Lepisosteus oculatus: one gene and its partners. Each later gene encodes a partner of the first gene's protein in a complex. Links are inferred from orthologs where the notes say so. Each region holds a gene or a part of one and is shown on either strand. Other genes may lie near its edges. The genes, in order: rab8a, rilpl2 and rab3ip.

Region 1 (3,750 bases):
CCATAAATCGCGCTACTTGTATAAACTAACAAACGACAGCATTTTAAAAATCAAGAATTTATATAAACTTTATAATGTACAAGAAGCGTCCTTTTCACGGAACCATGCTTTTGTTACGTGAAAAAAAAACCTGCACCTCAAATCCAATTATAATATTCTTAATGTATTAAGCAATCGTTTAGATGTTTAATTTTATTGACCCATCAAAATACCACAGGCGCTAAGCTGACAAGAAACTACAGGAGGAGATTTGAAATGGGGTTCGTATCAGTGGCTCATATCAGTATGGGCACTGTAATCAGGAGAACGCCTCTCCTCAGTATAGCTGTTCTTGCACTGACAACCGGCATTCAGAATACATTTCTGCTCGCCTATAGGGCTCAAGTGATTTACGTGCTGTACTTTTAATCTCTCTGCGCATCTACACGTTTTTACAGCTCTTTGGACTCTGGTCGCTTTTCAATTCCCAAAACGAGGAAGTCCTGGCAGATAGTCCTAGCTGTGGTATTATTCAGTAGTATTTAACTTATGCAAAGGTGTGAAGAAAAGCAGATCTGATGTCGAGATTGTATCTCGTTCTAAAAACTGCCACTGAAGGAGTTTAAGCAAAAAAAAAAAGCATGTTACAAATTGGTCAGCGCTATCAGGGTTTATGAACATCCAAAGATTCACAGGTTCCCCAAAACACAAAGCAAATGTATAATTGTGTAAAATCAACAATCTTGGGACAGTGGATGTGTTCTTCAGAACTGGCGGCTCGTCGTTTATAATTACCAGTAGCATGCATTAAAACTTTTAAGATTTTTAGTTTCATGATGCATTTTGAAATGGGTCTTCATCATAATAGCTCCCCCAGCCACAGACCGTGGAAACACTTTGATCTATACTAACACAGTACCTAAGCACATCCTCAAAACCTGCACTCCTAACTTTCCTTCAAGGAGCTGGGGGTGGGCGTAGCCGGAGCCCGGCTGCACAATCAGAATTCCCCTTAGGCTTGATTGACGTCAGCCTAACCCCGACTTCCGGAGCCACGACGACGGGGAGGGGCTTCCCTGTGAGTGACGCGCCACCTAGTCAATCAGGAGCCGCGGTTGTCCGGATTGGCGTTTACGCAGCTCCCGCAGAGTGCCGGGCGGGATTTCCGCAATCGCGAGTAATATGGCGAAGACTTACGATTACTTGTTTAAACTACTGCTAATCGGGGATTCGGGAGTTGGGAAGACCTGCGTTTTGTTCAGATTTTCAGAGGATGCCTTTAACTCAACGTTTATCTCCACTATAGGTAGGTCGGCGTTTGCGGTGAGCTCCTCTGGTCGGGTAAATTGGAAAGGGGGGGTTGGCTGTATGTTACTGCGCTGAGACAACCCCAGTGCAATCAGCCCTGTAGCTATACCAGTCCGCAGAATACACCTCATGTCGGGCATGAAATGAAAGAAAAACATCCTAAAAGTTGTACTGCGTGCCCTTGCACGCTGTGCGTTACAACGCGACACTTGATTGTAAGGTAGTGAGCAGCAGGGTCTTGGTTCAGTTATAGTTTTGTAGATATACGTGTTATGATGGAGCACAAAGGTCTTGGTATTTCCTTATGCGGTGGCTCCGTGGTATTTAGGCTGTGAACTATAATATATATTTATGCAGTTTCCTCGGCTAAATTGGGACGCGTTTTTCGCGTAGTGTTTGAACACATGCTCGTTTGTGTAAGACCCCACAGTTTTTTTTTTTTAAAACGAAACGTTAGCGCTCTAAAAACTTGCTGGAGCTAACTTTATAGGAAGTATTGTGAAGTGTCTATCCGGTTTCATTTTTTATCGCCCGGTGGCGGCCCGGCAGACTGCAGGCTGCGGAAACGCAACTTCTTTGGGGGTTAATTCTTATCTCGCCTCCGGGCTTTGTCAAGTACTTTCTGCCTGGACGTCTGTGATACGACATGGACAGTATCTGGGTCCTCGTCTGGCTGCCGTGGAGCTGTTACAAAATAAATGCATGTAGGAGAGTTGAAATAGCATCATCCCCCCGAGCTCACTTCGCTGTTTTTATAGCTTCCTAAAAAGGAGATGGATCTTGTTAGTGTCGAACGGAGGAGACTCCGAAGGAACCTCATACACGTATTCAAACCCCCCCAAGGGCACTGACTGTCAGTTTCTTCAGAATGAACCGTGAAACTCGAAACGCGGGATACGAGTGGGAATCTACGTGGCAGTTCGTTTAAAAACAAGAACAAGAGGCACATCTTTACCACAAGGGTTGTGGGAGTGTGGAGCACACACTGTGGTTGAAGCCAGTAGCCTGGCTGCTTTCAAGGAACAGCTGGATGAGATGCTTGGATGAATTAGCTGCTGACTGTCTAAGGGAACCTTTTTTATGTTCTTAATTGTTGCGTCTCTGGAAAAACAAGATGTTGATGCATCGCTACTTTTTCTACAAGATCAGAAAATGTGGTTATTCAATATTTAACAAGTTTCTTTTCTGGTGTGCTGGAGTACACTGGAGATGGATTAAAAGGGGTGGAGGGGTTCTGTTTTTTCATTTCTACCTCCCTGCTGACTGTATTTTTAAGACCAAGAACAGAGGGGTCACATCTTTACCCCCAGAGATCTGAACAATTAGAAAATGGACTACATGCGCCTCTAGTGAGTTTAGAGCTGTTGTGTATGCTCAGCAATTTAGTTTTTTTTATTTCAAACTATTTACACTTTCCTTCTCCTCAGATGTGTTGTGCTTAGTTGAAGGCCAGTGTAGTCCCCTTGGGCTTGGTACAATGAGGCAGTTTATGCGTATTCTAATTTGAGAAAGGCTTGTCAGTTCCCTCAAAAAGCTGTTGCATCAAAAGTTCTGTCATACTTTTGTTTCTCATTTAGCCAAAGGGACTGATGCTCAGCGACAGCCCTCTGACTGAGAGGATGTTGCCCAGCAACACAACAGAGCAACACAAGGCTCTGCTGCGATATCCTCCTCCTGACCTCGGCACACCCAGCTTTTATCTTCCCGGGTTTATTCAGAGCCTGGTAGGCTCACCTGATTGTGTACAAGACTGAAACAAAGTCCTCTTCCTCTCAGCGCAGGAAGGAACCAGGGCCAAAGTAAAACATCTTTCCGGAGAAAGTTAAGTAGAAGAGGCCTAGATACTGCTGGACAGGAGGAAACTAGAGCAGGCTGTCTTCGGAAAACCTTGACGATGACCGAGTTTGGTTTGGTATTATCTGCTGTCATCCCTGCAAGCCGCTTTCGAGAACTGATGTATATTTGTAGGTGTGAGTGACTGCGATGTGGACTTCCTTCCTATCTCAAGGCCTGAGCAACATCAAACATGAAGTCTAGCCTTCCTTTATGGCCCTGGGGAGATCACCAAGATTGCCTTTTGCATTCAGTGATGCTGTTTATGAATACAAGTCCTAAATCCTATGAGTTTTGTTTTTCGTACAAGCACATTCAGGCAATAGGTGCCATTCCCAGAGGAAACTTGTTCATTAGATTGGTGTTTCTCTTTTGGTCATGCTAATAAACCCCTTGAAGGGTTATTACCATTTTCATCGCTTTAAGTAACGATCACATCGCATCTGCTGGCAGGCGGTTCCAAAACGTGCCTTTCTTAAGATTAGGTATGGCAACAGCGCCGTCTTTGCCCATTGAAAGTACCTTTTGGAAAGGAATGCATGCTTGTTCCAAGCACGTGTTCTTCCATGATGATGTCTTGTATTAAGAATACCTCCCAGAATCCTTTGTTCCCACCCTGGGGCCACACAG
Region 2 (3,750 bases), on another chromosome or scaffold:
CGCATAAACGATTAGTGCGCATTACAAATGAGAAATTAAAGTAAACTTTATGTGGACCTCAGCAGCAACGAGCGGAAATAATAAAAATGGACTACAGCACAGAACACTACAATTCATTGAACGACTTTCTTGAAAGCCGACTTTGAAAAACATTCAGCGTTTTGCAACTCGCTCATAATCGACTGTAACGCCAGTGTTGCTGAACATCAATATTGCATATTTATTTACAGCTTAACCTTAAATTCAAAATATCAAGAAAGCTCAATTAAAACGACAGTATGGGAAATCAAGATTTTTTAAGACTTACAATTACGTCCTTTTCCAAACAGTTCTAAAAAGCTCCGCAGGGTTTTAGACAGCACGCATCATCTCACTAAATTGTACCTTTGTGCATCTTCAAAAACACTCCGTGTTGAAACCGTTCCCGATCAGAATCCTTTCCGTTTACTGAGAATAAAGGACTGTTTTTTTCAACACATCTATATTAACACAAACCTTAACCAAAGACTCTTACACAGTTTTCAGAGATTTTCTCTGTAATATAAGAACCTGGCTGTAATAATTAAACACAAATAATGAATAGAAACTGTTTTAAGGGTGTAGCCACTTAATTACTGAGCCCATGATTTATCCTATTATTGCAATGCCTTTGTGCACTTTAATGTACTCTTCCAGTGAATGGATTACGATGAATGGTTTACTGCATACCTGTTTACATTGTGTATCCTTTAAAGATATTTTTGTACAGTGTATTGTTTGTTTTGAAATGAAAAAGGTAACATTGCATTCGCATTCGTATAAAATCAAGAATTTATTTTTTGGAGTTTACAGCTTGCATCACAGTAAATCGGTTAATTCATCTCGATTAAAAAAAAAGGTTAAATATAGATTGTCTTCACAGCAATGGGGTATTTTTATTTTGTTCACAATCTTTATTACGTGATAAAAAGTATCGCTGTAACCAAATTCACACACAGTAGCGGAACAAAAATGATCTGGAAACTCCGTCATACGCTTATAAAGTATCACATGCTGCGTTTCACCTGACTTGCTCGCTTGGCTTCACCTGTCACTAGGAGAAGCGTTGCCTCCTGAGATATATACAGACATCGCCGAAAGGGGTTTCACTTTCTGCGAGTACAATTGGCCCAAGGCCGCGTCAGTCAAGGAGGGACTGTGGCAAGTTGCCCAAAGTTTCCAAAAGAAGGAAGTTCAAAGAGGTTGTGCGATGACCAGGGACCCTCTCGCACTGCGAGCAAACAACAGCGAAAACTAACCATCAGACGGATCTGAGCTGACTTCAAAGCGTGAAGGAGACGTTTCAGCTTTTACAGAGACACTTTGTTGAACATAAAAACACACCACCGCGGGCGGCAGCTCCTGCAGCAGTAGCTATGGAGGGGCTGGACACGACCCCTGCTCTGGCTTTCGAGAAAGACGCGTTTGATCTGACGGTGGAGGACGTGTACGACATCTCCTATGTGATCGGGAGAGACCTGCTCAAAATCAACAGCGCCGGCGAAGAGGTGTCCGAGCTGCAGTTCAAAATTGTCCGGGTCCTGGAGATGTTTGAAGCCCTGGTGAACAGGCACAACCTGACGCTGGAGGAGCTGAAAATGGAGCGGGACAATCTGAAGAGCGAGCTGGACCGGCGTCTGAGTGAGGGGTCGGAACAGGGGACGGTGAGCTCTTCGTCTGCAGTGTGCACAGGAGACATTTCTTCTTCCTTGTATTACACTAGCTCGACAACTGGTCGATCCAATGCGCAACTGAAGAGCACTAAGAAACCTGATGCTATTCCTTGTTGACCCAGAATGAAGAACTTTCCCCTTTTATTTGAACTTTTTTTCAAAACGTCCCGTGAGATGAATCCGAGAAATGTTGCGGACAGTAGTTGACTTTTGAGTGTTTTTTTTTAATTTTCTATGTACCAGTTTTTACAATTACACGAGATAATACCTCGAGAAGTACATATTCTGACGTATACCTTTCATATAAAGGTATATAGTAAAAAAAACTATAATGAATTCTGACATTTACGTTTTTTAAAAATAATAAGTACTGCTTTCTAGTGAAGCACGAGTCGAAAAGTGATTTATTCTGTTCTGATTTGTTTTATGTGGGTCGCACTTGTGACCCGTTATTAAATGAATGGGAAACAGAATGACAGCTAACTCCTTCGACTGTGAGAGCAGCTCTTAATGTTCTACGGGAATTTAGAATTTCACACATGTGGACGTGTTCAATTTCTGGACATTGAATTCTGCGTTTAGCTGTTTCTCTCAATAACAAAAACACATTTTATAAATATATACTATTTGTAAAACGTTGCTTATAACCAGACTGCTCAAGCAGAACAGCTCAATTCTTTCACAACACTCATATTAATATTGACAGAGCGTGACTGGTCATATGTGGACATGGGATATAGAAAATAATCTAATTACAGTTTACTTTCAACAGAAGGTTTTGTTCGGGGGAGGAGAATAAATTCGGTGCCTCGTAATGCTTATCCACTGGAAATACTTTAGATTTCACCATTTTGTGCTAATTAACACGCGGCTTTTCTGGATGGGTCTCATCCGGAGAAATGATTCGTATTTTACAGATGACGATCGGTTCGAACAAGATGGTAGTGGACCTCAAGGATCCGAACCGGCCCCGGTTCACTTTGCAGGAGCTGAAGGACGTGTTGCAGGAACGGAACCAGCTCAAAGCCCAGCTCCTGGTGGCCCAAGAGCAGCTGCAGCTCTATAAGAGGTGTAGTCAGATGCGCTGTGTCTCTCCGCGTCCTTCTTGGAAAGGGTTTATTTGAACTAAGAAAACAGGGGATGACGCCGAATGGGGATAATAACGTGGTGTGGTCATGTCTGCAGTGGGATTTTGCCTCAGAGCGAGCCAGCCGCAGTTGAAGCGGATCTCCAGCCTGTACCCCCAGCGCCCTGCACCACGCCTAAAGAAGAGAAAACCACCATCCGGAAACTGTAAGTGTTCCCTTCTTTTTCTTTTGAAGAGCGTCGGTTTTTGTTTTTGTAGATGGTCATCCATATAAATGACCCTGTTTCAGTCTCGTCTATTTCCCCCGCAAGGTGGCAGGCTTTGGAAGAACGGGTTCTGAAAAGAGCCTCGATAAAAGGTGGACATCCTCCTGCATTGTAACGGCAGGACTGCGAGATAGGGGTTTCTCTTGAAGTAAAACTCCTGCCACCGTTTTATTCAGCGAAATGCATTTTTGGCGCACTCACTGCCTCAGATAATTGAATAGTGATGCATGACTTCCTCGTGAGTGGGCTTTGGTGGTGGATGTGTTTTCTGCGTGTGCCTGTGCAGCTTGTGGCTTCCAGGTACCTGGTGCTTCTGTCTCCGGGCTCGTCGTGTTGCCTTTGAGTTCTGGCCGCGCTTCTGTTTTCAACTAACGAGTGTTTGCGCCCTTTTGGAGTTTGACCTCGATGGGAAGTGCACCAGTGACCCCCAATGCTGAGCAAGAGGTCCTTTCCGAGTCGCCCAGCTCTTCCCTCAGCCCGTACGAGTCCGGGCTGAGGGGTCGGCTCTTGCTTTACCCTTTGTGCGCCCAGCCAGCCCGCCCCTGCTTGCTGTCTCCCCGGTTCGTGGGTGTGGTCACGTTATGGGGTTGATGCTCTGGTTGGCTGCTTTCCTTCTGCACGCAACCGACTCTGGGGACGGACTCTCGCCCCTGACTGGATCGGCGTCGCCCGTCCCGCCCACTGGAGCTCTGCCTCACTGGTGTGG
Region 3 (3,750 bases), on another chromosome or scaffold:
GTGTCACCTCTGGCTGGCTGTAGTGAAGAGCTCTGAGGTGAGGGAGCTGACTAGAATATTCTGATTCACTTCTGACCAGCTACAGATGGTGGAGTTTGGTAGTTTTGTGAGACTGAATTGTTGACGTTGGGGCCTGTGTCAGTCAGTATTCTGGTTCGGTGTATTTTCGTGTTATAAGACAGCAGCAGTCCTTGATTTACAAAAGGCCAAGGTTAATGATGCAGAATGTTTTGCTAGATTATCTCTCCCTATGCATGGTAATATGTCACGGATGTAGGAAAGGCAAGCCGTGGAATGACAAGGAGGGCGTAGCGGTGAAAGGGGCAACACAGAGGTTAGCCCAGACTCAGGGGGTCAGATGATATCGGAAAGAAATCTATGCCCTCAGGCCACAGACAGTAGCGACCTGGTGCTAGGCGGGTCTCAGGAAATCCGTACCCTCAATGCTGAGCAAGGAGTACAGCAGACACAGGAAGTAAATAGGCTACACAACAACAACAACAACACACGGGAAAAACATGAATAATCACAGGGAACTAGGAACAAGACAGAAGTAGAGCGCCCTCTGGATGCACTGGACGTGACAGGATTGTGGTAGGGGAGTTATACTGTAACAGGCGGCACTGTTGTACTGAAAAGACACTGCATTTATGTGTTATAAGTAGTGTATGAATATTCTTGAACAAATCACGCCTTTTTCTTTTGGCTAAAACAAAAGTTACTCTTGATAACGTTACAACGTCCTATTAGCTCAATTTACATTGTAGAGCTTTTTTTCTTTTGCTTTTTCTGTACAGTAATGGTGTGCGTCTCATGGCCAGGTCGCCACTTTAAACAAAGGATTATTCTCAACTGATTTATCTGGTTAAATAAAGGAATTTCTAGGGTTAGTTTAAATCGTGTTTCTGATCGACATGCAGCAGAAAGCACGATTATGTGTGTGCAACGCATCCATAAGGGTTATTATGAAAAAAAATAGAAATATAATTTCCTCAACAATGTAATTGTATTATTTTGTAAGAGAACCAGGAGGGTAAGCGCTTTCACAAGAATGTTTTCATTCATGAATGAAAAACGGCCGTTTCCACAACTGTATGTTAATTCAGATGCGAAGGATATTTGTTTTTCTTTTTTGCTCCAGTCCATGCATCCACTTATCGCATTAATCCACATACGGGGTTCATGTGCGGAGATATTATTATTTGACGTACAGTAGTTTGAAATTTCCACCATCAAATCACAGATGCGTGTGTACCATTTGTATTACGGTTGTGACCGGGTAGCTACGCCTGTGTAAACATAGGGCGGCCGCCGGGGCGCGCATGCGCGGTTTGCAGTCGTGTTCACACGCAGAAGAGGGAGCAGGTGTGCCTAGAGCTGATCTGGCTGTGAGCTGTCTTTCTCCATCCTTGTCTCAGAGAAGTTACCTGTCTCTCAATTGACCGTCTCTTTGAAGTGGACATTTTCCTGTCTGCAGGGAATTTTCTTCATTAGCTTTCCTAAGCCATAGGTAGGTAGCTGCTGAAATCATGATCCGATCCTGGCACAGTTGTGCAGGTAGCGAGCTTCGCCTGGTGTTGTGCTGTGCGATACTCTAGCAATCAAATGTTTACAGGCAGTGTGTTTTTAAAATAAAGGGGAGAAACCACATTACATGGATTGTTTCTGGACTTTTACGCGCTCGTAGTTTTTTTTTTGTCGCATTTTGAGATTCGTATCAGACGATTAAAGCCAGGATCTGTGTAGATTCCGAAGCGAATCAACCTCAGGAAACGCTTATTTGATTTAGCCTCAAGTTATTCCACGGGCGCCCATTAAACGTCGCGAATGACCATTTTTTCGGGATTTAGTTTTCTAGCGGGTCCCTGCAAAATGATGTAATTAGGGGTGAAGATTTCAGCCTTCACACCAGCCGGTCTCGGTGGACATCCTACCTGGACATGAAACGAACTGATACATAATGCTTTGTAAGAGGATTATTTCCCTTTAGTGGGATTTTAGAAAAAGGGCCGCACGATGCATTGTTGGTTTCAATCAAAAACAGACAAAAAAAAAAACCCAACAGCAGCCAAAGGCACGAAATTTGATTGTGCGTGCTGTTGATCTCCTTTGTAACAACGAAAAGGGGCAAGGCGTTTTTTTGTGCCTTTTTTATTTTCGGTACTGCAGTTTTTAAGACCAGGGCAACAGTTTCGCCCCCGGGTAATGTGTTAGTTGACAGAACAAAAATCCCTGATTATGGAAAAAATGGGGAACGTCTCTCGTCGAAAAACTCCGATCCCTACATTGAAAAATAAAACTTGCTGTTGACGTTTAATATGTGCATAATAGAGTAAGAGCACTGGATTATCTTGCCTGTTTTATAAAATCCATAATTTAACGAACGTTTCTGTTGCGAGTCTTATTTCCGTCCTGTATTCCTCATAGTTTGGTCTGAGATCGAAGAGCTTTATTTTATGCGAAAGGAATCGTGGTTTTTCTGTCACGCCTGTACTGTATAGGTAGACACGTGCGACAAGACAGGAGGTCCAAAAAATAATTGGTTAGACACGGGGACGCAATTTCGTATTTTGTGCTTCAGCTACTGTCGCTTAAAAGAATCTGGGGATGTTGAGCCAAAATACACTATTGGAATCAAGTTTGTTTCATATTCGAAGGCAATTTGACTGTTTTAGGTGCAATATCGAGTACATTTACATTCCTGTTGCCCTAGTGTGTTGAAACCAAACGATTACTAATCCTGCATGAGATGTCTGCGATTGACGTGCTTTAGTGGACATAATATGCTGACAGAAATAGTGAGGTAGCCTAGTCAAATCGAACAAAATTGGTGACGAAAACGCTTTGTGCAGATTAAACTCCTTTCAGTAACGGCATGTCATTTGTCAATCTGATTTTTTTTTTTGCCGAGGGAATTTTGCATGGATACATTTGAGTTTAGCTTAATTCTTAATATTTTAGTCAACGTTAAATATTAGGCAGATTGCACAAGCGTCTAAACCGCAGTTAATTGCGGAAAGAGTTGGAGCAGAAATAGCCAACAAAACAGGCATTCAGAAAGCATCAGGTTTTTGCGTTTTTCCTTTTTTTCCCCCACTAGCAATGACAAGCTAGTGACAGGATAAAAACAGTGAGGCCCGTTTATAGTGTAACACTGGATACAAAGCCCTGAAATATGAGCGTGGTTAGTTGTGCAGTTAAACCAACAGAGGCAGGGGCTGTGCTAGCACTTTGTTTGTTTTAGACACAATAGGACACTCCTGAGAGGCACATTACAACGCAGAACTGTACTGTGTAAAACACCGTGCCCAAAATACTGAATTTCTCCGGTTTATATGTGTCTCGTCAGTCTCGTCATTCTCTTCAGAGTTGTTTATGGGAAAATACCGACGTTCAAATATCTGAACTATAAAGGGATATCCTTCTTGTCCCTATTTTCTTTTTTCTGCCCATTTGTGAGTGTGTCTGAATGGAATAAGTGTGGTCTGTACAAGAATTTCGTTTTCAGCTTTGGCAAAGGCACCAGGCGACACAGAATGCTTGCCAACATTTCTGCAATTTCAGGGAAAGGTGCTTGTCCTGTTCAGGACTTTACTGTTAATTTTAGAAAATGCTCACCACTCAAAGCCTCCCCGAGAATACAATCAAGAAGCCCCAGCTATGGTCTTCCAGCTAAGCTATTCTTGCTCCTTCACATGGGTTTAAGTATCGCAGGTTTAATGGTCTGCTGAACTTTTGATGACGTACTTG

Evidence for each region.
Region 2: the proteins of rab8a (region 1) and rilpl2 are in contact, whole or in part, in a crystal structure (PDB 6SQ2), measured with the Homo sapiens proteins. The link is inferred for Lepisosteus oculatus from reciprocal best matches to the Homo sapiens genes RAB8A and RILPL2. Residues at the interface, in NP_005361.2 of Homo sapiens: Ile41, Gly42, Ile43, Asp44, Phe45, Lys46, Ile47, Lys58, Trp62, Phe70, Ile73, Tyr77; in NP_659495.1 of Homo sapiens: Leu135, Leu138, Arg139, Leu142, Gln143, Arg145, Asn146, Lys149, Ser150, Leu153, Glu157.
Region 3: the proteins of rab8a (region 1) and rab3ip are in contact, whole or in part, in a crystal structure (PDB 4LHX), measured with the Homo sapiens proteins. The link is inferred for Lepisosteus oculatus from reciprocal best matches to the Homo sapiens genes RAB8A and RAB3IP. Residues at the interface, in NP_005361.2 of Homo sapiens: Lys10, Phe33, Ser35, Thr36, Phe37, Ile43, Asp44, Phe45, Lys46, Ile47, Trp62, Ile73, Ala76, Tyr77, Arg79, Gly80; in NP_783322.1 of Homo sapiens: Ser199, Arg202, Asp203, Gly206, Leu209, Glu210, Thr213, Ala214, Phe217, Glu218, Ala220, His221, Val224, Asn228.

Annotation. Positions count from the first base shown.
Region 1 is NC_090724.1:5,175,495-5,179,244, reverse strand, and holds the start of rab8a (ras-related protein Rab-8A), read left to right. Parts: upstream 1-1,119; 5' UTR 1,120-1,161; coding exon 1,162-1,285; intron 1,286-3,750. UniProt on the Homo sapiens protein: The small GTPases Rab are key regulators of intracellular membrane trafficking, from the formation of transport vesicles to their fusion with membranes.
Region 2 is NC_090717.1:7,609,863-7,613,612, reverse strand, and holds the start of rilpl2 (RILP-like protein 2), read left to right. Parts: upstream 1-1,074; 5' UTR 1,075-1,394; coding exon 1,395-1,682; intron 1,683-2,608; coding exon 2,609-2,760; intron 2,761-2,876; coding exon 2,877-2,984; intron 2,985-3,750. UniProt on the Homo sapiens protein: Involved in cell shape and neuronal morphogenesis, positively regulating the establishment and maintenance of dendritic spines. Plays a role in cellular protein transport, including protein transport away from primary cilia.
Region 3 is NC_090702.1:23,324,673-23,328,422, reverse strand, and holds the start of rab3ip (rab-3A-interacting protein), read left to right. Parts: upstream 1-1,327; 5' UTR 1,328-1,510; intron 1,511-3,750. UniProt on the Homo sapiens protein: Guanine nucleotide exchange factor (GEF) which may activate RAB8A and RAB8B. Promotes the exchange of GDP to GTP, converting inactive GDP-bound Rab proteins into their active GTP-bound form.